Notamacropus eugenii: one gene and its partners. The protein of the gene in region 3 interacts with the protein of the main gene of each other region in a biochemical or structural test. Links are inferred from orthologs where the notes say so. Each region holds a gene or a part of one and is shown on either strand. Other genes may lie near its edges. The genes, in order: CFH, FCN2 and PTX3.

Region 1 (7,837 bases), on a different chromosome or scaffold from region 3:
ACTCAACTTCTTTTTGGCCCAGTTTCCTCATATGTAAAATAGGATAATAATAGAACCTATCTCCCAGGGATTGTGAGTATCAAATGAGTTAATAATTGCAAAGTGCTTGGTACATAGTAAGTGCTACATAAATATTGGCTATTATTATTATTTGCCTTTTTTATGTATATATCCCATCTCCCTACCTGGATTACAAATCCTTCAAAGGGTCCTTTTCTTATACACATTTGTATCTCCAGAATATAATAGGCAAAAAAAAAAATTGCTGCTGCTAATTTTACTCAACATTCGGTTTCCTATTCTCTATCCATTTTTCACACATATTCAGTGCTTTAAAAATTGAGTTTCAGTGAACTAAGCTTGGTCCTGATGCTTCCAGATTTTATAGCTAATATTGCCAAATTAACGTACATAATGCATAGATGTTTCTGCTAAAAGAAATCCAAAAGACAAAGGTAGTGATTAGAACAGGTTCTTGTCATGTACTTGTGTGTTTTTCAATCATAGATGTTTCGTATGGTCTTCTGTTAACATATGAATGGCAAATTTGTCATGGTTTTCAATTCAACATGTTCAAGAAATACATATGAAACATCTATTAATTGCAGGCACTGTTCTAGGCCCTGGAGATGCAAAGACAAAAATCAGTAACTTGCTGACCTCAAGGAAATTATGAATCATCTGTTTTAACAATATTCCTTCATTTATTAGTGCACCATTTGGTAACACAGAATAGATATAACTTTCACCTTTCAGTTTCCCAGGAAGAGGTGTGGGTTTGAGGAGAGGAATTAGCAGTGTCACTATATCACATCTACCATCCCGTAGTCCTCCATAGCTGGGAAAAATACTGCCAACCCCTCCTCTTGGTGTGTGCTCCCCCTCAGCTTGAGAGTTTCTTAAAATTCCCATTGAAGCAAAAACTATGCCAGGAAGAAATACAATTCCATGCTCCTTAGTATTTGGGAACTACTTCCAAGGCATCCAGTCTCAGCTTTTCCAGAAGAACTGTTGTAGAGTCTATCCCTTCATTTTACAGATGAGAAAACTGAGGCTTAGAATGGTTAAAACGACTTGCCCAGGGTCATATAACTAGTTTTCAAGGGGGCATTTGAACTCAGGTCTTCTTGACTTCTAGTACAATATTACATCACTTTGCCTCCCCTTGGCCTACTTTAGACTATTCTGTGCTACTTCAGCAATGCCTTGATTAGAAGCCTGAAGTGCCTGATAACTTGAAAAAGAACATGCATGTGTACATATATGTACATGCACATGCACATGCATATGTATATGTATATGCAATATGTATATGGATGTATTGGTTGGTTGTTGTCCTTCATTCTCAAAAAGGACCAAAATGACTTCATGCTAGAGTCAAGTTTCAGTGTGTCTGACTATTGCTGGTCAGACCAATATGAATTTGGAATGCTCTACCACAACTCAGGCACAAATAATCCATATGAACATTTGGGTGGATTCTCTAAATTTGCACGTCCTACATTTCCTTTGAGCTGTTTCAATTTTGCTTCGCTTGTAGAGAACAGCACCTTTTCTGTTGTGGGCCCACCATGACGAACATCTAGATCTAGACAACAAAAGTCTGTCTTGACTATAGCTTCCATCTTTCTTGTCCTCCCTTAATACTTGCTTTGTCAATTATCTTAAATAAGCCTAGGCAATGTAGAGACTTTGGAGAGTGTGCGTATTCTGTATGGTGATACCAATTAAAAAAATTTTCCTAATATTTTTTGGAGCGGGGTTAGTTATCAATATGTGCAACAGCTTTGAGATGATGCTCTGACACCATTACCATTACTACCACCACTACACCTACCATCGCCATCATCATCCTTATCAGTGCTATCTCATTCTTCCCATCTTTTTGGGCAGGATTCAGGACAAGCTTCAAACCCGCTGTTATTCTCCTACTATTTATTTACTATTAATAGACAATATTTGTAAACCAATATTGAGCTAATAAGCATAGGGCTAGGCTCAAAGCACTGGAAACATTAGGGTAAGCCTGAAAAAATGAGAAGGACATCATTATCATCACCATCACCAGTAACAACATGCCCTACTGAGTAGTTGCTATGTCTTGGTTTTTTGTTCTCCAGGCTAGAGTAATGCACTGTTGTTAGTTAGTGCCATTAAATTCTAGGTTTTCTTAAGAAAGAGAAATTTAAAGTTAACTTTTCGTTTAATATGGGGAGTTATCTTTTGTCTAATTCCATTCTCTTTTTATTCAAATATAACTTCCTAGTTTTCAAAAGCAAGAAGTAAAAAAAAAAATAAACAAATAAGTAAACCCATAGCTGAAGCTTTATTGGACCCAAAGTATAACACTATTACTTTATAAACCCAAATAGGAAAACTAATTTTTACTTGCATAAAAGGCAATATTTGAAATATTTTTACCTGTATCTTTTTGTCTTTATGCCCATGAGATCATAGGACAGACCCAAACTACTCCAACAATAATCTAAGAAGAAAGCTAGGAATAGTCATCATGAAATTGAAGGAATAATTATAATGGGTCATCTTTCCATTGGAAGATGGAAATTTCAACTTACAAGGAAGTGAATAGGACAGAAATTCTTGAACTCTGGTGTTAGCTGTTATCATAGCTCTCAGTTCCCAAAGATCCAACGTGGGCCAGTAACACTGGGAGTACCAGAGACAACCCCCAGGGTTCCTAGCCAGTCCAGCAAAACAAGGTCATAAAAGGCACAGTGAACCTCAGACCCAGAGTTCTAGGCAAGCAGCATACCAAGAGTGGATCATAGACTCAACCCTGAGCTTACTAAAACTTCCAGATACCTGAAAGGGTTTAAGACTAACTACTCTTTCTAGGAGCACCACTTAGAAGCAAGTCTGCCACTGTGGGGCCTAGACTCAAATTGGAACTTGGAGCCTGACAATCTATGAGGACACAAATTAGGATGTCCTCTTGATCAGACCTCATTGGGTCTGTTGAAAATTTGCAGCTTTATACTTCAAACTGTCCTTGTGATTCTTAAAGACTCTAACACTCAGTACATGAAGAACATAATGACAGACTAGGTTAGGAAATTAGACCACAAAACAAGACTGGAAGAACAAGTTTTTTGTTTGGTTGGTTTTTGTTTGTTTTTGGTTTTTTTTTTAATTTCCAGTTGGACAGAGGTGGGAGCTGCAAAAAGAATGGTAGAGAGCAATGATCACTGGCAACAAAAATTATGTTCAATAAAGGACAAAACCCAAAGAACAATTTATACTATAATATCACATTATAAAAATAAGCTTAAAAAAAAAAGACATGAACACTGACAAACATAGTGATCAATCATGATTCCAGAGGACTTATAACTTACCTCCTGTCTGAGAGGTGATAAACTAATATACAGAATGAGACATACTTTTGGAAATGGCTAATATGGAAATTTGTTATGTTTGACTATGCTTGCTTTCACAGGAATTTTGTTTTTCTTTTCTTTTTTTTTTTCCGTGAGCTGAGGAGATGGAAGGCAGAAAAAAATGCTTGAAAAATTCTAAAAATTTTCAAATTGAATCAAAAGATAAGATAAATGAATGTTTCACAGAAACATGATGATAGAAAAAGTAGCAAATGATTGCATTGTAGTAAAGTATCAAACACATTAGCTCTAATTTTAGCATTGCCTCACATCCCAGATCCCCTCCAAGATATACAAATATATGAAATGCATCAAGAGAATATTAAAGTTAAAAACTAGGACTTAAAAAATTATAAGTGAGGACCCTGTGATCTTCCTCTTATTTATCCAAATTCAAATTATGACCACTGTTTGTAATGAACAAGATCTCAGCTTAGTAAATTTTCTATTCTCAATGTGTCTTTGCATAGTAAACGCTTTATAAATGTTTGTTGAATGAATGAATGATAAACTCAGCCTATAAAAGTGTTCTGGTATTGGCTTTAGATATAATTGCAAAACTAAGTTGGCAGTTTCAGACGGGTAAGTGGAAAGTTGGAATGAATATACTATGTTAAAATAGGAGTCATTGGAGAGCATTATTTAAAAATTTCAAGTGATGGCTGAGATTTCAAATGTGACTTACTTTCTTGTGAGATATCTTTTGTTTTCTGGTGTGTTTTTTTTTTCCTTCAAGTAATAGAGCCAATCCAGTACCTTCATTTAACTTAAAAAAAATACAGTACATTGGCTTGGGCAATAAAACACAGATAAAATTACACTGCATGGAGAAAAAGAAAAAAGAATCTGTTTTGTCAGATTTTTGTAGTCCAGAATCTTTAGCAGCCCTGATTTTTCTGTTTTTTGTGATTTAGGTTATTACACTAATTTGCTAGGACTGAGTGGGAATCAGTTGCTTTACAAACAAATATAGTGTTACTGGGGTGGAGAATAAAATTAATGGATTGCTAAAGAAGGAGGTAACGGGATAGGTCAGAATGGCATTCTTTCCAAAGTTTACATAAGTTATCTGAGTTGATTGTGAAAGTATTGGTCAATCTGAAGGGCTGTAAATGAAAGATTTAAAAAAAACCTATTCACTTCCCCTCTCTTCCTCTTACTGCCCCCTCCCCTTTTGAATATGTTTAATAAAGCAGTCATTTAATTTCAGTAAATGGGAGGTGGGGTACATATAGAAAGCATTATTTAATTTGTTGCAGAGCCTGGGAACTTGAAAATAATCCATCTGAGAACATGCCTGTATTTTTAATGACAAATCAGAGTGGAGGTCACAACTTTAACAGTGAGTGGGAGGACATGAAGAATTCTGTTCATACCCTGGCAAGGAACAAAAGACTTGTTGAGTTCTGTGATTTGATATTTGTTGGGTGTTTATTTTGGGGTTTTTTTTCCCCTAGCTTAGCTTCAGTTTCTAGTAGGTGGGACATTTAGTTAGTGGACTTTATTCAGGCAGCATATTTTCAACTTCTGTTTTAAACAAGATTTCACTCGGAGCAGTCAGAGGAGAGCATTACATGGTACCTGCAATATCTAGGTCCTAAATGTGTCTTGCTTCCACGTACAAAAAATGAGATTTCCAGTAAAGATTGTTTTACTTCTGTTATGGACTATCTGTGCTGCACAAGGTAAGGGGACAGGATTTTGGTTCTCTTTAAGGAAACTAAAAAACATTTGTTAGTATATTTTACAGAGACAAACTGAGAGAGGAAGAGATCAAATTACAGATTATAATTATATTCTTGTTCTACTTCTATAGTTCATGCACCTATGGATATTTTAAAGTGTTAATGATTTCAATAGCACATTTAGATGTTTCTTTTCACTTTTTATTTTCAGATAAATACTATAAAAATATTTTTTAAAGTAATCATTTCTGAACTACTAAGTTTCTTAAAGAGTACCCGTTCTTGATTCATTAAAATATTCCTTAAAAAACTTATTTTCTGAGCTATTGTTTTACTCTTCCAGGAATTTTTCCATGAAATGTCAGAGACAAAATTCATGCTATTATTACTGGATTGATAACTAGCCTAGATTGTATCTATGCCTAGAGATCAATGTATTTATTATTTGTTTCCAGTGCCTTGGTGTTTTGTTTTGTTCTTTGAAAATAATTCTAATATACCATAAGTGGAACTTCCTTACAACACATCTGTAAAAATAGTATAAATTTAAGTTAACAAAAAATTCAGTCTGTGAACTGATAACTTCATTCCATAGTTAGGATTCTTTCAAGAAATTATTTTTAATAGGAACTACAGGAAAATTCTCTACTAAATGCAATATTCTGATAAGAAAATAGAATGAGATAGATCTTTCTTAGTATAGTGAGAAAATTGATGAATGAACTTCTGTTATCACACATAGTTTAAATGAGCTCTAGTGTTTTACAGCCAATTGGTGAGTTTACTTTTGGGTATTTTACTTAGATGGTGCATGTAAGATAAGTGATAACTAGGATTCATATTTGATGTATCTATTTCATGAAACTGCATCAAGCATCTTTTATTTGAGGAAGAAGTCATGATGTAGTATGAAGAGTTCTGAATTTGAAGTCACTAGAGATTTGGGTTCAAATCCTAGCTTTGACTAAATGTATGACAAATGAACAATTCACATGATCACTCTGGGCTTCATACCTTTAGTACCTACCTCATATGGTTTTTGATGATCTAATAAGATACTGTATGGAAAATGTCTTACATACCTTAAAGCACTATACAGATGTCAACAATTATTATCTTTTGATTACTAGAAATATGCTATCCATATAATATCTTTAGATGTATATATTTAAAGTTCGCAGATCCCAGGTTAAAAATTCTTTATTTAACGGTTGAACTGAAAGGATTCAACAAATCAACATGTTTGTGTGTAGGGGCAGTGGAAGTATTGGGACAAATTCTTGGCATAGGAAATAGAGGAAAAAAATAAATTAAGGCAGGGAAGCATTAGCCATGTTAAGGATAGGATGGGGGCGGGGGATGAGGTGTGGGGTGGAGGAAGTGGTAACGTGATTTAGGCTGGAAGACAGAGGATGTGGAAGGTAATAGGAATAAAGTTTAAACATGTAATGTGGTACCCAATTTTGGAGAATCTTGAATGTAAGGTTTAAAAAATTTGAACATTATTATTTACGTCTTTATTTTAAAATGTATTTTATGTTTATGTATTTATTTCTAAGGTAGGTGGTAATGAGGGCCTATACTCATAGGCAGTAGGGAGAGGGAGTACAGAAGTAAGGCAGAATAAATACTACATGTCAGCTGATTAGCTAAGAGCCATGAGGGAGAGGGCCTAGAATAGTGAAAGGTAGCAGTAAGCTCTCAAAAATGGGAGAGCGGCTGACTAACAACAACAACAAAACCGAAACTAAACCTTATAACTACAATGACCCAGCTTGGCTCTAGAGAAAAGTTGCAAGTACTTACCTCCCTCCTTTCTTGACCAAGGACAAAGACACAAAGTGTGATACATTACACACACACACACACACACACACACACACGCATGCATGCATGTATACACACATGCACACTCATGTACGTATGTATGTATATATGCACACATGCATGTGTATGTATAAAAACATATTCTGTCAGTTATAGTTGACTTGTTAATTTTGGTAAACTCTATTTTTTATCTTTCTTTTAAAAATCTTTGTCACATGGGATGATCTGCAGGTGGGGGAGACATGAGGATATGTATATTTGGAAATAAAAGAGTTATAAAAATAAAAGTTATCCTGCCCTATTGTGCTTTTATGTATTTGCACAGATGGTCCTCATACCTGAAATATATTATATTCTTTCAAGGCCTGGATCTTGGGCCAGCAATTCCTCTACCTTGAAGCCTCCCCTGGTCTCTTAAATTTCCCTTAAAGCCCTTTATCATGAGAAAATATCAGATTTTACATTTTGCTTTATTTATTGATTTACCTGTCTTATTTTTATTAGTAGAATATAATCTCCTTGTAGAATAGTAGAATAATGACTATATCACATTATCTGTATTTCTAGCATTTAACATACTGTCTTGTACAGAGCAGAACTTTGAGATACATACACATACATATGTATATTTGTATATGTATATATACATATGTGTATATATACATATGCACATATATGTTAGTCCAAACTTTTCTGAATTTATCTGATAGGGCTATATCATGCATCCCCTGTTTCTCCATTTTTTTTTACAAAATATCATGTGAGAATTTGACAACAACTTTGAAGAATGAATATATGTTACAGTATATCCATAGAACCTGAAATACTTACATTACTCAGGACTGAGAACAATCACATATGTGAAAATGTAAATGGTAGAGACAATTGATCTCTGTTGTCTCCTGTTACATACAGTCAGGCTATTAA
Region 2 (7,189 bases), on a different chromosome or scaffold from region 3:
CTTTAAGATTCACACACACACACACACACACACAAACACACACACACACACACAAATGTGAGGTGGGTGGTATAAGTGTGGCTCCTGCTGTCAACACTGCTTTGAGTCTAGGAAATGGAATTTAGGGGAAGTGTCCTGACTGACAGCAGAAATTGACTTTCTAGGAATGAGCAGCCCAGTGAATGGAACCTTAGGGAGCTGCTCTTGCTGCAGCGGGCATTCAGGTTTTATCCATGGGGTTCTTTGATTTCCTTTTAATTACTTACCTTTGGGACCCATTGGTCCTGCCTTCCCAGGAGTCCCAGGAGGGCCTCTCTCCCCTGTAGATACCAGTGAGATAGGAATGGTGATAATAAATTATAACATTTAACTTGAAATTCACCAACTCCCCTTCCCACCCAACCCCCAGCCACTCTCACATACTCCCTAGATTATGATTGTAGAGGTGAAAAGGGACCTCTGCAACCCTATTCCTCTCCTTTTACAAGTAAAGGAAATGAGGTCCTGTGACAGATAAATTAAAATAACTGAGAAAGTGCAATCCAGGTTATGTGACTTATTAGCAAAACAGGCATAATAAATGGTCAGCAGACTCCCTAGTCTGTACAAAGACCCTGCATACAGAGTGAGACAGATTTTTATGTATTCAAAACAATTAATCAAATAAGACCAACTAATTAAACAGAAAACAACTGACAAGACAAAAGCCAGGGTACAAAATTAGGTAATCTGATTTCTAGCTGGAGGAAAGGTTGAAGGCTTTCCAAGTTGGGAGGGGGGAAGAGTACATTTTGGCAGAGTTGGTAGGAAGTCAAGTAGGTTTTGAAATCTTTCTTTTCCCAGAATTTAGAGATGCTGATTAATTGCAACCACCTACATTTATGAAACAATAGATACCTCATGCCACCTAGTTTCCCATGGATGATTTGCAACAAAGCAACAAGATGAAGGATAATACATGTAGCAGCACAAGATGGAATCAGTGTTCATCAGATGGACTCTAGCAGGTTCACTTGATTCCCACACCAAAAGAACTGCATTTTGTAACTGGTCTTTGGTCATCCTGGAGGACTTAAATCACTCATTCAGAGTCATCCAGGTCATAAGGGGATTTGACCTCAGACCCTCAGATTCCAAAACCAGCATTCCTTCCTCTGCGCTATGGTTACCTCTTGTCAAACATTAGTTCTTAAGACTAATGACATTTTTTTCATCCTTAGAACACAATTATTTGCTCTAAACAGCATTCCAAGAGCCACAGAGTGTGGTCTAAGAACCATAGATTGTATATTAATTATGTTGGTGATTATGATTGTTAGGGAAGCTGTATAATATAGTGAATGATCCTAGAGTCAGGAAGACCTGCCTTCAAGTCCAGTCACTTAAGTCTCAGAACCTTAAGCAAGTTAAGAGTTGTAATCAGTTTTGTTTTTTGGATGGGGATGGAGAAGAGGGAAAGTATTTTGGAAACTGAAACTAACTTAATAAAAAGGCATAGCATCCCCTCCACTCAAAACTACAGATGAGTGACAAAAACTACGGATTCTTGATATGTCAACATGTTAGATTTACTAATGGTAATGAGTATATTGGGCATGATGGCGGTGAATTGTTTGCACTTGTAATCTAGCAACAAATAGGATTTAATACTCATCCAGATCTGAGCATAGTGGTATGAGAGATGCAAAGATGATTAAGGTGACCCCTCCACTCCTGGATCTTTCCATGCATAAGAGAGATAAGATAATGGTAATTATTACAGTTAAAATAGTAGGAGTGGTGAGAATTCTGAGTTCAGATGAGTGAGAGATACCACATCCAATTGGACAGTTCTGATAAAGCTCAGTGTACAAAATGGGACAATGGCTATTTGGGGGAGGCAGGGCAGGCATTGTCACCACTTGACAAGAAAAGTGAAGTTGAAAGAAATTAAGTGAAGGGATTTGCTAAAAGTCCCATAGGAGGTCAGCAGTAGAGCCAAGACTAGAACCCAGATCTTCTGGCTATATATGCTGAAGTATGAACTTGTGAACTAAGCATAGACCCTCCAAAACATAATTATTTTCTGAAAGGACTTTTGAAAGATACCTATTTACTCTAAATAACATGTGAAGAGCCACAGCTTATGGCCTATGAACCTCAGCTTTCCCAGCTTTGTCCTGTGTGGCGAAAGAGTCAGTGTTCTGTGACCATTTCCAACTCATATCAACCAAAACCTCTGGACCTACAGGGTATGGACACATACCTCTTTTTCCATCAGAGCCAGCTTCTCCTTTGGGACCAGGGGGTCCAGGAAGTCCTGGACAGCCTTGGAGTATGGCAAGTTTGTCAGACTCCCCAAGACCCACAATCTTTACATCTGCAGAATGTGAAAGACATACACACACATACACCATTGAGTATTGTATTTTCTATGTATTATATTACATTACATTATATTAATTAAGTTATGTTATATCTAATTTGATCTTCTCAACAGCCCTGGGAAGTAAATATTATTATTATTGTTAACGCCATTTTATATATGAGGAAATTGAGTGAGAAAAAGGTTAAGTGATCTGCCCAGTGTCACACAGCTAGTAAGTATCTAGGGCAGTATTTGAACTCAGGTATTCCTGACTAGTCTTTCTAAGCACTAAACCATCTAGATGCATATAGAAGTTCTGGGAAGAGAGGGAAGGGGTAAGAGGTTAGTGGAGAGAAGAGATCCTCTTTCTCAGAGAACACAAGGTTATAGAAGAGAAATAAGAAAGAGCAAGATATTTTTGAGAAGAATGGGTCTCCATGTTCCTCAGGACTAGATCCAGGAAGAAATGTCAGTTCTAGAGCTTAGCGCCATCTCTGGGAATCACACTCACCTGGGCACTGATCAGGCTTCTGAGCAGTGGAGGTCATGAGGCATATACACGCCAAGAGCCAGGCAACTCTGTCCATAGCCTGAAATGGGCTCTTCAGCCTCAAGGCTCTAGTCACTTCTTGGTGCCTTTGTCATTGGCTGCCAAAGGCTGCCCAATCTTATAAAGGCATTGGAGAACCAGCCGTCATAAGCCTTTCTGTCTTGTTTCTCTTCCCTCTTGGGGTGAACTGTTTGCTTTGGCAAAGTATCAGATATTGGAAAAGAACGTTCTGCTCTAATTAGGTCCTTGGGAATTTGCTGCTTCCTAGGAACTCCTTTTTTCTTTTTTTCTTTTCTTTTCTGTCCAGACCTGTGATTTCCTGATGAATGATCCCTACTGCAGGACAGCCCCAGGCATGCTTCATTCACTTTCTCTGACCATTTCTTCCACAGCTTCAACAACCACTTCGGTGCCTACTCCAGAGATCATGCTCATTGAGAAGCTTTTATTCCTTCTATCTGAATTACAGTACTGGGCACTGATTGGTGACTCCCTGGTCATCTTCTCTACAGCCTCATTAACTGCCTTGGTGCCCATGGCAAAGACTTCCCTTCCCAATCTTGACCTCCACCCCCATTCACCTAACCAAGTTTGGAACCATGATTAAATCAACTCCTAGAAGAATGTGTGAATCTCTGTCTGAAGATTTAATGCCCTGTTCCCATCTACTCTCTGAAGTATATATTATCTCCCCTTCTTAGAATGTAAGCTTCTTCAGAATAGGGATTATCTTTACTTTTGAATTTGTATACTCAATGCTTAGCACCGTGCTTGGCATATTTGTTGCTCGGTTGTCTTTCACTCTTGTTGAACTCTTCCTGACCTCATTTTGAGGTCCTTGGGGTTTTTTTTACATTTCCTTCTCCAGCTCATTTATACAGCTGAGAAAACTGAGGCAAATGGCATTAAGTGATTTACCCAGGGTTACACAGCTAGTAAGTGTCTGAGATCAGATTTGAACTCAGGAAGATGTATCTTCCTGACTTTAGGCCTGGTACTTTATCCATTGGACCACCTAGCTGCTCATATATGCTTGGCACATAGTAAATGCAGTTACCAGTGTGGAAACATCTTCAGTGTAGATTATCCACTCACCAATAATTTATATATTCAGAGGTTTCCCTGGAGCTCAAAGAGATTACATGATTTGCATGAGGTTGTATAGCTGGTTTGTGTCAGAGGATGAACCTGAACCCAGGTTTTGCAAGGCCACAATATTATTCCCCTAGGAATGCAGTATAGAAGAACTAGAAGTGACTTCAGAAATCCTTCATCTACCCCACTCCCACTCCCCATCTGACAAATGAGGAAACTGAGAATCAGTGAGAAAGGTGAAGACTTGCCTAGGTCAACTCAGGTAACTTATAGTCAATTAAGATTCCATCAAGAGGTCTCTGATTTCAAATCAAATAGTCATTTTTTTAGGTTCAATTACTTTATTTGGGGGTAGTTAGGTGATATAGTGGATAGAAAACCAGGTCTAAACCTAGGAAAACTCCTCCTTCTGAGTTTATATCTGTCTTCAGACACATAGTAGCTGCGTGGGGGCAAGCAGGTGGTGCAGTGGATAGAGTACCAGTGCAGGAGTCAGGAGGACCTGAGTTCAAATCTCATCTCAGACACTTGATACTCACTAGCTGTGTGACCTTGGGCAAGTCACTTAACCCCAACTGCCTCATCCTGGGTCATCTCCAGTCATCCTGAGGAATATCTGGTCACTGGATTCAGATGGCTCTGGAGGAGAAGTGAGGCTGGTGACCTGCACAGCCCTCCCTCACTCAAAACAAAGTCAAGTGCAAGTCATGTCATTATTTCTCTGATGGCATGGTCTTCTTCCAATGGAAGATGAACACACTAGCTGTGTGACCCTGGACAAATCACTTAACCCTCAGTTTTTTCTTCTGTAAAATGAGCTGCAGAAGAAAATAGCAACTACCCCAATATCTTTGCCAAGAAAACTCCAAATGGGGTCACAGAGAGTCAGACATGACTAAAAACAACAACAATCTATTTTTTTTAAAATCATAGAATGTTTCTTATAAAAGAGCCTTACATTCTATATAGTGCTCTAAATGGATGCCAGGAACCATGGACAATTGGTATTCTTTATTCCCTGTTCCCCTCTGTCCTCTCCCAAAATTACAGTGACCACAAAGCAAGGTGTTCACAACAGTAACAGGAAGGGGGATTTTTTTTTTTTACCATCAGCAATGAACAAACATAAGATTCACTCTCTCAACAGACGTTCCAAAATTTCGATGTAAGTTTTACACATCTTCCCCCTCACTACTTTGTTTTTAAGAAACTAAAAAATTACATCTAGTAAATAGCAAAGATTTCACTCTACCTCAAATGCAGAACACCTATGAAACCAAGGAATGTCGACTTTTTGAACAGAAGCAGATAAAAAACTCTAAAAGATGCAAGACTCTTTCATGTCTCCACTAGTCTGAAAAACTTTGCAGAATACTACTTCCCATTATAAAAAAAGAAAACAAGTTGCATTAGAATGTTTCAACATCTGCATGCTGCTTCATCCTCGGTTGCTTAAATATTGAGCATTCTGAAGAAAATCATCCCTACCAATTTTGGATCATTAAACATCATTGTGAAACCATCAGAGTCACAGATTTCATCATAGAAATTGGGACATAGGGCTGTGCATATCCTTTGATTGGAGATTCAGATATAAAGATCTGGTAGGACTTTTATGCATTCCACAACCCCACTACGCTTTCCACCAATAAGAACAACACTCTCAGTGGAATGAGGACAGCATTCATCTTCCTGGAAATGCTTGATAGTTGTCTGAATGTTCTCTTGAAGTTCTTTGATTTTAGCATTTTTGACCACAACAATTTCTCCTGCCAGTCTGTGATGAATCAACAGTTTAAATTTATAGTCAAAGTCACTTCTTTATAGTGCTGGAAATTTAAGCATTCATTCCACAGCATCAGATTTGACTAGAAGTTGACTGGTGGCAGTGGGTGATGGCAGCTTCCAACGTAGGAATGATTTCTTCAGAATTTTTCCAACTGTTTCATTATCCGCACTTATCCTCCATAAGCACTGCAAGGTCACTGCTATCTGTCCCCTTAATAAAAGGATTTGTTCTGTGAAGTTTGGATCCAGTAAAAGGGCCACACTTGAGGACCTAGAGGGCTACATATGGCCTTGAGGCTGCAGGTTCCCCACCCCTAACAATAGCACAAGGCCACCTTCAATCACTACCCCAGGTGACTGAAGCTAGACAGAGACCAAGCACAGGTCCCCACTCTCCTCCCCCATTCCCAAATCTAATACTTTTTCCATTCACTGTATTCTTCAGTTCTCATTCCCTTCAAGAAAGAGCAGACATTCAGACCCCATTTGCAAGGACGTTTCCATTAAAAAGAGCTTACATTGCACATCTAGCTTTAAGTAAAGGCCAGACATCCAAATTGCCCCATCTTCAATGGCTTGAATTGAACAGGAGCTTGGTGCAGGTGACCCCATGCTGTCTTTGCTGGATAGGACATTCTGTCTTTCTGATGCACCAATAGCATTTATTGTCTGTGTTATTCAGGAGTACTTATCACATACTGCTGTGCACTGTCTGTTACATCTGCATGAATACTTTTTGTTGCCTCAACCAGATTGTGAGCTCCTTAATTAAAATAATAATCCCTTATATGTGTGGGACCTCATTGCCTCACCCTTGAACTATTGCAATAGTGTCCTGCTTGGTCTTCTGGACCCAAGTCTCTCCTTACTCCATCCCCTGCTCAATTACTAAAATGATCTTCCCAATGAAGAAGTCTAAACATGACCCCATCCCTTCCTACTTCCCATATTCAGTAAGTTCCAGTGGCTTTCAATTGCCTCCAGAATCGAATAATAAATCCTTTACTTGGCTTTTAAACTCCTTTGTAACCTGTACTCTTTCTCCCTTTCCAGTCTTCTATTTTGTTTCCCTTCTGCATAATCTATGACCTGGGGGCAGCTAGGTGGTGCAGTGGATAGAGCATCAGTGCAGGAGTCAGGAGTACCTGAGTTCAAATCTCACCTCAGACACTTGACACTCACTAGCTGTGTGACCTTGAGCAAGTCACTTAACCCCAATTGCCTCATCCTGGGTCATCTCCAGTCATCCTGAGGAATATCTGGTCACTGGATTCAGATGGCTCTGGAGGAGAAATGAGGCTGATGACCTGCACAGCCCTCCCTCACTCAAAACAAAGTCAAGTGCAAATCCTGTCATTATTTCTCTTATGGCATGGTCTTCTTTGGCAATGAAGGTCAAACACACACAC
Region 3 (7,706 bases):
AATTTGATATTCTCTTACTTAGATGGTCTCTCTAATACTTTCAGAAAACAAAAGTAAAAAAAAAAAGACTGAAACACAAATGTACCTTTCCCTAAAGAGATATTTTCAACTAGCAGTCTGTCCCTGGTAGTTGCCCCAAAACCCATCTTACAAAGGTATCTCTCCCTGATCCTCAGAGAGCTCCCCACTCCATCAAGGTCATTTGACTATGGCATTAGAGAGGCAGTGGAAGAGGATTCCTCTGGTCCCTCAGAAGATCAGTTTATACTTTAAGGCATAAGATTTGCTAGGTTACTATTATCAATCAGAACTGTCCTTAAAGACAAGCAGCCAAGCTGGAAAAAAGTCCACAGACCTAAAGATATACTTTACCTCAATCTATCTCTCTCTCTGGAGAATAGAAACTAAATTTAAAATGAAAATAAACTAGATGGTGCAGTGAGTGGATAGAGCACTGGACTTGGAGTCAGGAAGACCTGAGTTCAAATTTGACTTCAGATACTTACTAGCTGTGTGGCTCTGGAAAAGTCATTTAACCTTGTTTGCCTCAGTTTCCTCATCTGTAAAATGAGCTAGAGAAGGAAATGACAAACCACTCCTGTATCTTTGCCAAGAAAACCCCAAATTGGGCCATGAAGAGTCAGACATGACTGAAACAACAACAACAAAGACCCTGTCCTCAGGCACAGGCCAATTTGCCAGGGAGGGAAGGGAAGCTGAGAAGACTTTTTTTAAAATGAGCCAATAGAGTTTAAACTGATGGCCTAATTCCAGGGTGGAATAGTTTATGTGTATTTTAAGGTGAAATCTGCTACCATTTGAGTTGTGTGTGTGGTGTGTGTGGTGTGTGTGTGTGTGTGTGTGTGAGTGTTTCAATTCTGGAGAACAAACTCGTTTCAGAACTATTTGATACGGATACAAGGCTGGATTTGGAGTTGGATGACCTGAGTTCAAATCTCATACCTGCCATTTAATATCTCTATCCCCTTGGACAAGTCATGTAGATTCTCTGGGTGCCAGTATCTGTAAATCCCATATCCCTAAAAGGGGCAACTCAATGATCCCTAAATTCCCTGTTAGTAGACTCTATTTAGATCTATGATCTTATGATGGAGAATAACTCAGTGATAGTACATGTAGATTCATTATCTCATTTGACCCTCACAACCCCTAGGACGATGGATGAACCTGAGTTCTCTCATCCATAAGATAAAGGGGTTGGATGCAGTAGGTGACGCTCGAGGTCTCTTCCAGCCTTAAATCTATGCTCTGGAGATTCCATCAAAGGCACTAAAGAAGGATTTCTTCAAGAAAAACAGGCTGGGCTCAAAGACCATGAGAAAATTAAAGGCTGTTTGGATCCTAGAGTCTCTCTGCCTATGAGACTTACCCAACCCCCAATGGGAAGCTCAGCCGATTGGGTGGTGGGCAGCCAGACAAGGGGAGGTGGGGCGGGGCAGAAGGCTCTCTCTTACCTGCAGGCAGTGAGCGCTGTGCAGCCCACCTGCGCAGGGCTCGCAGCTCCTCCAACACGGGCAGCAGACTATTCGTGTCGGGCGCCCTCTGCCAGGCACTCTCCAGCTTGGCAAGCCGGTGTGTCAGGCCACGGCTGGCCAGTGACAGCTCTTCCAAGGTCCTGGCTAGCCAGACAGGTTCCTGGGCTGAGGCGTACATGCGGGACACATCTGAGCGCAGCTCACGCAGTTCAGCAGTCAATACATCCTCGGCTGCCTGCAGCAGTCTGTTCTCCCGCATCTGAGAGTTCTCCAGCATGACGAAGAGCCGGTCCCACGCCATGCGCTCCTGGCTACAGTCACACGAAAAGCCTGTAAGAAGCAGAAGAAACTGGTGTCAGGGACCCACCTGCACGCCCACAGGGTCACAGAGTTGGGCAAGGGCCCACACCACCTATCTCCTCCCTAGTCGGCTCTGCTTGACCCAAAGTCCGCTGCCCTTGCCCTCCAGAGAGGTCTGGGTAAAGTCTAGTAAGGTGTCTCTAAAAGTCCCACCTTCCACATCCTTTCTAGAGACATTCAGAAAAGTAGTGCATATAAGGCCTGAGGGTGCATACCGGCCCACGTAGGATCACCCTGGTGGTCAAGAAATCTTTTTTATCCGTTACTGCTTACTTATTTATGTAGCAAACCACTTTTTTTTGTGGGGGAGGGGGGCGAGAAGGCTGTTAGACAGACCTATGATTTATACTATGAGGAATGGGAACCCCCAATATGGAAACCCCTTTCACAATTGGGGTTCCACAAAGTTTCTGTCTTACCTGTTAGTTACCTGGGTAAAGCAGATGGTACTTATCCAGGATCAGACCACTAGTGTGTGTCAGAGGGCAGAATTTGAGCCCTATTCTTAGGGCCATAGGACCATACTTGGTTTGACAGGTTCTTTAGGGGCCACCTGGTACAATCTCATCATTTTACACACGGAAACTGATACCCAAGAAAATTAAATGGCTTGCCCACAGTTGCCCAGATAAATGTCGCAATTCGAACAATCTTCCTGACCGTAAGCCCACCTCTCCTTGCCCTGAGTGCTTCGGGTTGCCTCTCAGACCACTTCAGTTCCCTTCCTTCCTTTCTTCTACATATATTAAATTACTTTTAAAAGTTCCCTCTGCTCTAAAGAACTCCCTCTTTTCAAAGGAAACCTTGAAATAGCTTACCCTTGCTCCAATACTGACTATCCCCTACGCACACAGAGCAGGCTTGGAACAGTTAAGGGTAGCAGAGAAACAGTTAACAGGCACTTACTGTCGTCAGTGGGATGTATTCCATTCTCTATTTCGTTATCCAAATTCACATACATGAGATTATAGTCATCGCTGTCCTCAGCCGACAAGGCAGAACAGAAAGCACAAAACAGAAGTACTCGGAGATGTTGCATTTCTCCGGGAGAAGACAGCGATTGTACTTTTTCGGATTTCTGCAAAAGTCTGCTGGGAGGGAGCTGGCCTGGAGCAGAGCAGAGAATGAGAGCAGGAGGCTAGGAAACCTCTTAATAAAGGTCCGGGGCTGCCGAAAGTGAATGAATGAGCAATGCTGGTGGCACCGGGGGGGCTGGGGGCTGAAATGAGAATGCCTCTGGTTATTGGAGGAAGAGGAGGAAAAGGAGGGGGCTGATGGGCTAGGGGAGGCGGGGAAGTTAGGCAATACTAAACCCCCAAGGTTTGCTCTGTGGTCAGGTTAATTGAGGGAGGGAAAAAAAGGGGGACGCTGAGAGCTGGGGTAAAACGGATCTTACGAGACTTGTCCCTGGAGAATTAGATGTTGCAATGTGAATTTGTACATTCTGATGTACAAGAAAGCTGCTTGTGTGGTAGGAAGAAAATGCATCAGAGCTGGGAGGAAAGGCAGGAAAGAGAGATAAGATCCTTAGGGGAGGGGGGCTTATGGGAATATTTTTTCCACAATCCTTTTCGTCCCCAGACTTTTTTTTTTTTTTTTTTTTTGTTCTTTTTACTCTGCATTCCCTGTACCCTCGGTTTTACATGCCTTCGTTGCCCGGAGTCATAGATGAATTCCAGTATAAAAAAGAAGATGCAATCCGGTGGCTAAAAATGCCCAATGGATTAGGAACCTATCTTTTCGTTCCAGTTAGAGTTCGGTCATTCTTCCCACTGCCTTTATTTGAGCACTATTGTAAAGTTTTACACAAAACCTTGGGAGTTTCATAAACCCAGTAAGGGGGGAATGGGGAGGGTGAGGAGGAGGGATACCCTGGAAGAGGGCAGTATACAAATCTTAGAGACGCTTGTTTTCTTCCCCCAGTAGTAAATCTCTGCGAATACATAGCTCCAAGGAAGCCAGCTTACCCTCCTGGGCTTGGAGAGAGGATCGTATTTCAAGAGGGAATTTAGATTGTGACTATCTGTGATTTCTGTGCTGGTGTGTTTAGGAGCGTGTAGCTCAAACGGAATCACACTTTTATTGTTTCATTTTGGGGTCTATCTTCAGTTGAAAAGTGAACAAGTTTCCTCCCCCCCACCATATACACTTTAAATTTGTAACATTAAGTAAAAGTCTTATTAGAATTACATGCCAGCTTTATGCCTTAAATTTTAGCTCCCTTAAAATTGGCATTTTGAGCAGGCAACTAGGGTGTCCCTTAACTGACCCAGAGGGACCCTTTATTGTAGCTTTTAATATTCTTGATCTTTATCTCTGGAAGAGATCATGGAATTTACACCAACTGTTAATTCTCTCTGGATTGGTGACTAATCACCAGAATATACTGTTGCCTGGTGCTCATCAGGGGGCCATTTACCTATTCAAGACCTCTTGACAGTTTCTCTAAGGTTTTGGGATCAAGCTGCGTATTTGAGCCTCCTGGATCATCTCTCCTGCTGACCAAGCCATGGTGTGCTCTAGCATTCCTCCTGGCCCTTCTGTCTTACTGTAGTGTGCAGGTGTCTAATTTGAGCCTAATGGAGACTCCTAGGGAAGTGAGTGTGTGTGTGTTGGAAGGAAGGATGCAGAGTTGAAAACCAGATTTTATCTGGAGATAGTGATGGCCACATATCTATTCAAACCTTACCAAATCCATGCTCCAGGTGAACAATTTGATGCATCTCCCTAGAACTCCAGGCTGCTTGAGTAAGAAACTAGACTTCATGAAGCTCAATTTCATGAGCTCTGCCTTCAGAACCTGGGGCCAGAAATTCAAAAGAAGGACAGATTCAAGAGCTGTGACTACTAGTAGGCTAGAATGATTCTTAGCCAGTCTACCCAGGGAAGACGTAAGACATAAAGAGAATGACCTGGCAGAGAATCTGGCTCTCTATCTCACCCATTAGCCTGTGAGTTCCTTGATATCAGAGACTGTCTTCGACCTTTCTCGGTATCCGTAGTACTTAAGGTATGTTAGTTGATTTGACTTGACTTAGTTCAAATAGAAAGAGTTTTACTTACTGAAGACAGTCATTGATGTTAGAGAATATGGTTTTGAACTTCACCTGGGAGAGCTTGGACTCTGTTCATAAAGATTTCTGTGGGGATGGAATGCTTGAGAACTACAAGAATGTGATGTCCCGGGGCTTCCAGGGTACAAACTAAAGATGATCTCCCATTGAGAGTGAGACAAAACACCCTGAATACTGAAGACAGAAACCTCAAGAGGGACCTGTGCAAATGAGGAGGCTAGGCTTGAAGTCATGGAATAATTTCCACAGTGAAACATTTGTATGGGAGAATCACTCCAAGAAAGATTCACAAGGGATGGTCCAGGATGGTTGGGAAACATGATGGCAAATTCCATGGATAGCACAATGATCCAATTATTAAATGAGTTAAAACAAGTCATGATCACCCACAAGAAAACCCACAGTAAGATCAGCTTCAGTGCCATCCCTGAAGACTTTCCTGACCACTCCACTCACTTGTTAATGCTTTCTCATCTTCCCAACTTACTTTGTCTTATCTATGTACCTATTCTGTTCCACCATTACTACCACCACCACCATCCCATTCTCTGTCCCTATACACTATGTATACTTCTTGAGATCCAGGGACTAACCCCATGCCATAGCCCAGTGCCTTGAACGTAGTACTTCTTAATGTTCATTGTTGTTGATCTGCTGAAGTGAAATTCGTTCTGCAAAGACAATAATAATGATATTCCCTTGTCTCCCAAGTGACTTCAAAATTCTTAAGTATAAAGTTCTTCAGTTCCCTGTGCCTAGTGAATACCCAAAACAATGAAATTTAATGGTGCCAGGTCCAAAGACCTGTATTAGCCCTCTGCCACTGAGAGGCAGTGAAAAAGATCTGTGGCTTTTGGAATAAGATTTTGGTCCAAATCCTGACTCTGCTTCAAATGTCTGTGTGACTTTAGACAAGTTGCTCAACCTCTCTGGGGCTCAGTTTCCTTTTCTGTAAAATGGGGGGGGGGCTGGTTCTAGTTATATCTAAAGTCTCTTCAAGCTCTGACATCCCATGGCTCTGGGTGGTATAAGTAAAAAGTAGTGACACTAATTTCCATTTTGTGGAATGTCTCCTTGCTTTCAAGTCCTACCTCATACGTTGCTGCCCCTGAAAGGCGTCATCAAGGATTTTTGGTTTCCTCTAAAGTCAAACTTTTATCATTCAGAGTTTTAGAGCTTTCTGTGTTTTACCAATGTTTTCTTTGCTCAGTTCTTAAAATATTCTGCATAAATATGTGTGCCCAAACACACAAATGCATGTACATTTACATGCAGTCCCTACTCTTTGGGTTCTTGTGTATATTTCTCTTATACATAAATCTCCATTTTAAAGGAAATATAAGTATAATACTCCCGGTTCAAGGCATCTATGGAAACCAGTTGCTTTGAAGCTTGTAAGTACTTGCCAGTATTCGAAGAGAAGGGCTGATCTCTGCAGTGATAAACAGATTCTCCCATGTGTTCTTGGTATGAATACCTGAACCTTATATAAAATTTCTTCCCGGTGCTTGCTTTATGGAAAATCATGAGTGACAAGCCATATCTCAGCAGCCCTTAAAATGGAGGTTGGAACCATCTTTGTTCCTCCTTTATTGCGAATAGTAAAGCATTATTTCCAGATGTCTATTGTCTTTCTCTGTGAAGAACGTAATACATTCTATTATTTTCTTTTCTTTGTTTTCATTTCCTCTCATATTTATGATAAAGCTTGGTTTTCAGTTAAAGGCTGTCTAAGACTCTTATCATTCATCCTCTGTCTATACTAATTTCTTCTCAAGGTTGGGGCTCTTCTGCTTGCCCCACATTACTTCACTTAGTATAAACCATCATTAGGTAATAATGTTTCTCATTATCAGATTCCCCACTCATGGAATAAGCTCTGATAGTAGCAGTGCCAGTGATCTGTGGGAATCAGGGTCACTCTTTGTTATTACTTGGCTCAGTAAAGGAATGGGTGATTGGTCCCTATGATTTGATATGTGACTAAGTATCCTAGATGCTTGTTAGTTCAACCCCAACATGATTAATGCCTCTCATGAGCTGAGAGAGTTGTGGAGCCCAAGTGAATGAACTGACTTTATTATCCTTTAAACAGGCAACTCCATGCTGCTGCGTGTCTTGCCTTCTGTGTATGAAAAGCAGCCCCAGCCAATTAACAGCCACGTGATGGAGTTGGTGACCCTGATGTGTGACCTAGAGACAACAGAACAACACCATCTTCTCAGGCTGTTGCAGATAGTGGCAAGGAGGAAACGACCCACGGTAAAGGCATATTTTTATATGAATATAAATAATAAAAAATAACAGATCCTTCATATAGGACTTTGACACTGGCAAAGTACGTTATATATATATTATCTCAGTTGAGCTTCCTAACAAAGCTGTGAGGTAGGTACTGCAGATATCGTCATCCTGTTTTATGGATGAGGAAACTGAGTCTTGAGGGGGTGACATGACAGGGTTGGCAAGTGTCAGAGATGGGAACTGAGCACGGGATTTTCTGACTCGAAGTCCAGAACACTATTCACTATACCATACGGACTCTCAAGGATGGGTACATTTACATGAATGCCTAGGTATGTGCCTAGGCTACCCTGCATGCATGGATATTTCACCTAAACATACCTATCTTGAAATTAAATTAATCAGGCACTGAACATTTGTTAAGTATCTACTAGGCAGTCACTGCACTAGATGCTAGGTCTAGAAAGATGAAACTGAAGTTGTCTCTGCCATCGAGAAGCTGACATTGCATTAGGAGATATGTTTTATATAC

What was found.
Region 1: the proteins of PTX3 (region 3) and CFH form a complex in vitro, tested with the Homo sapiens proteins (3 studies listed by IntAct, with this or other methods). The link is inferred for Notamacropus eugenii from reciprocal best matches to the Homo sapiens genes PTX3 and CFH.
Region 2: the proteins of PTX3 (region 3) and FCN2 interact in a biophysical measurement, tested with the Homo sapiens proteins (2 studies listed by IntAct, with this or other methods). The link is inferred for Notamacropus eugenii from reciprocal best matches to the Homo sapiens genes PTX3 and FCN2.

The regions. Positions count from the first base shown.
Region 1 is NC_092873.1:444,689,041-444,696,877, reverse strand, and holds the start of CFH (complement factor H), read left to right. Parts: upstream 1-4,766; 5' UTR 4,767-5,025; coding exon 5,026-5,083; intron 5,084-7,837. UniProt on the Homo sapiens protein: Glycoprotein that plays an essential role in maintaining a well-balanced immune response by modulating complement activation.
Region 2 is NC_092872.1:488,118,197-488,125,385, reverse strand, and holds the start of FCN2 (ficolin-2), read right to left. Parts: upstream 3,017-7,189; 5' UTR 2,935-3,016; coding exon 2,859-2,934; intron 2,360-2,858; coding exon 2,246-2,359; intron 321-2,245; coding exon 267-320; intron 1-266.
Region 3 is NC_092877.1:367,858,948-367,866,653, forward strand, and holds the start of PTX3 (pentraxin-related protein PTX3), read right to left. Parts: upstream 3,030-7,706; 5' UTR 2,896-3,029; coding exon 2,763-2,895; intron 1,827-2,762; coding exon 1,476-1,826; intron 1-1,475. Other genes in the region: VEPH1 (ventricular zone-expressed PH domain-containing protein homolog 1), read left to right, coding at 7,026-7,192.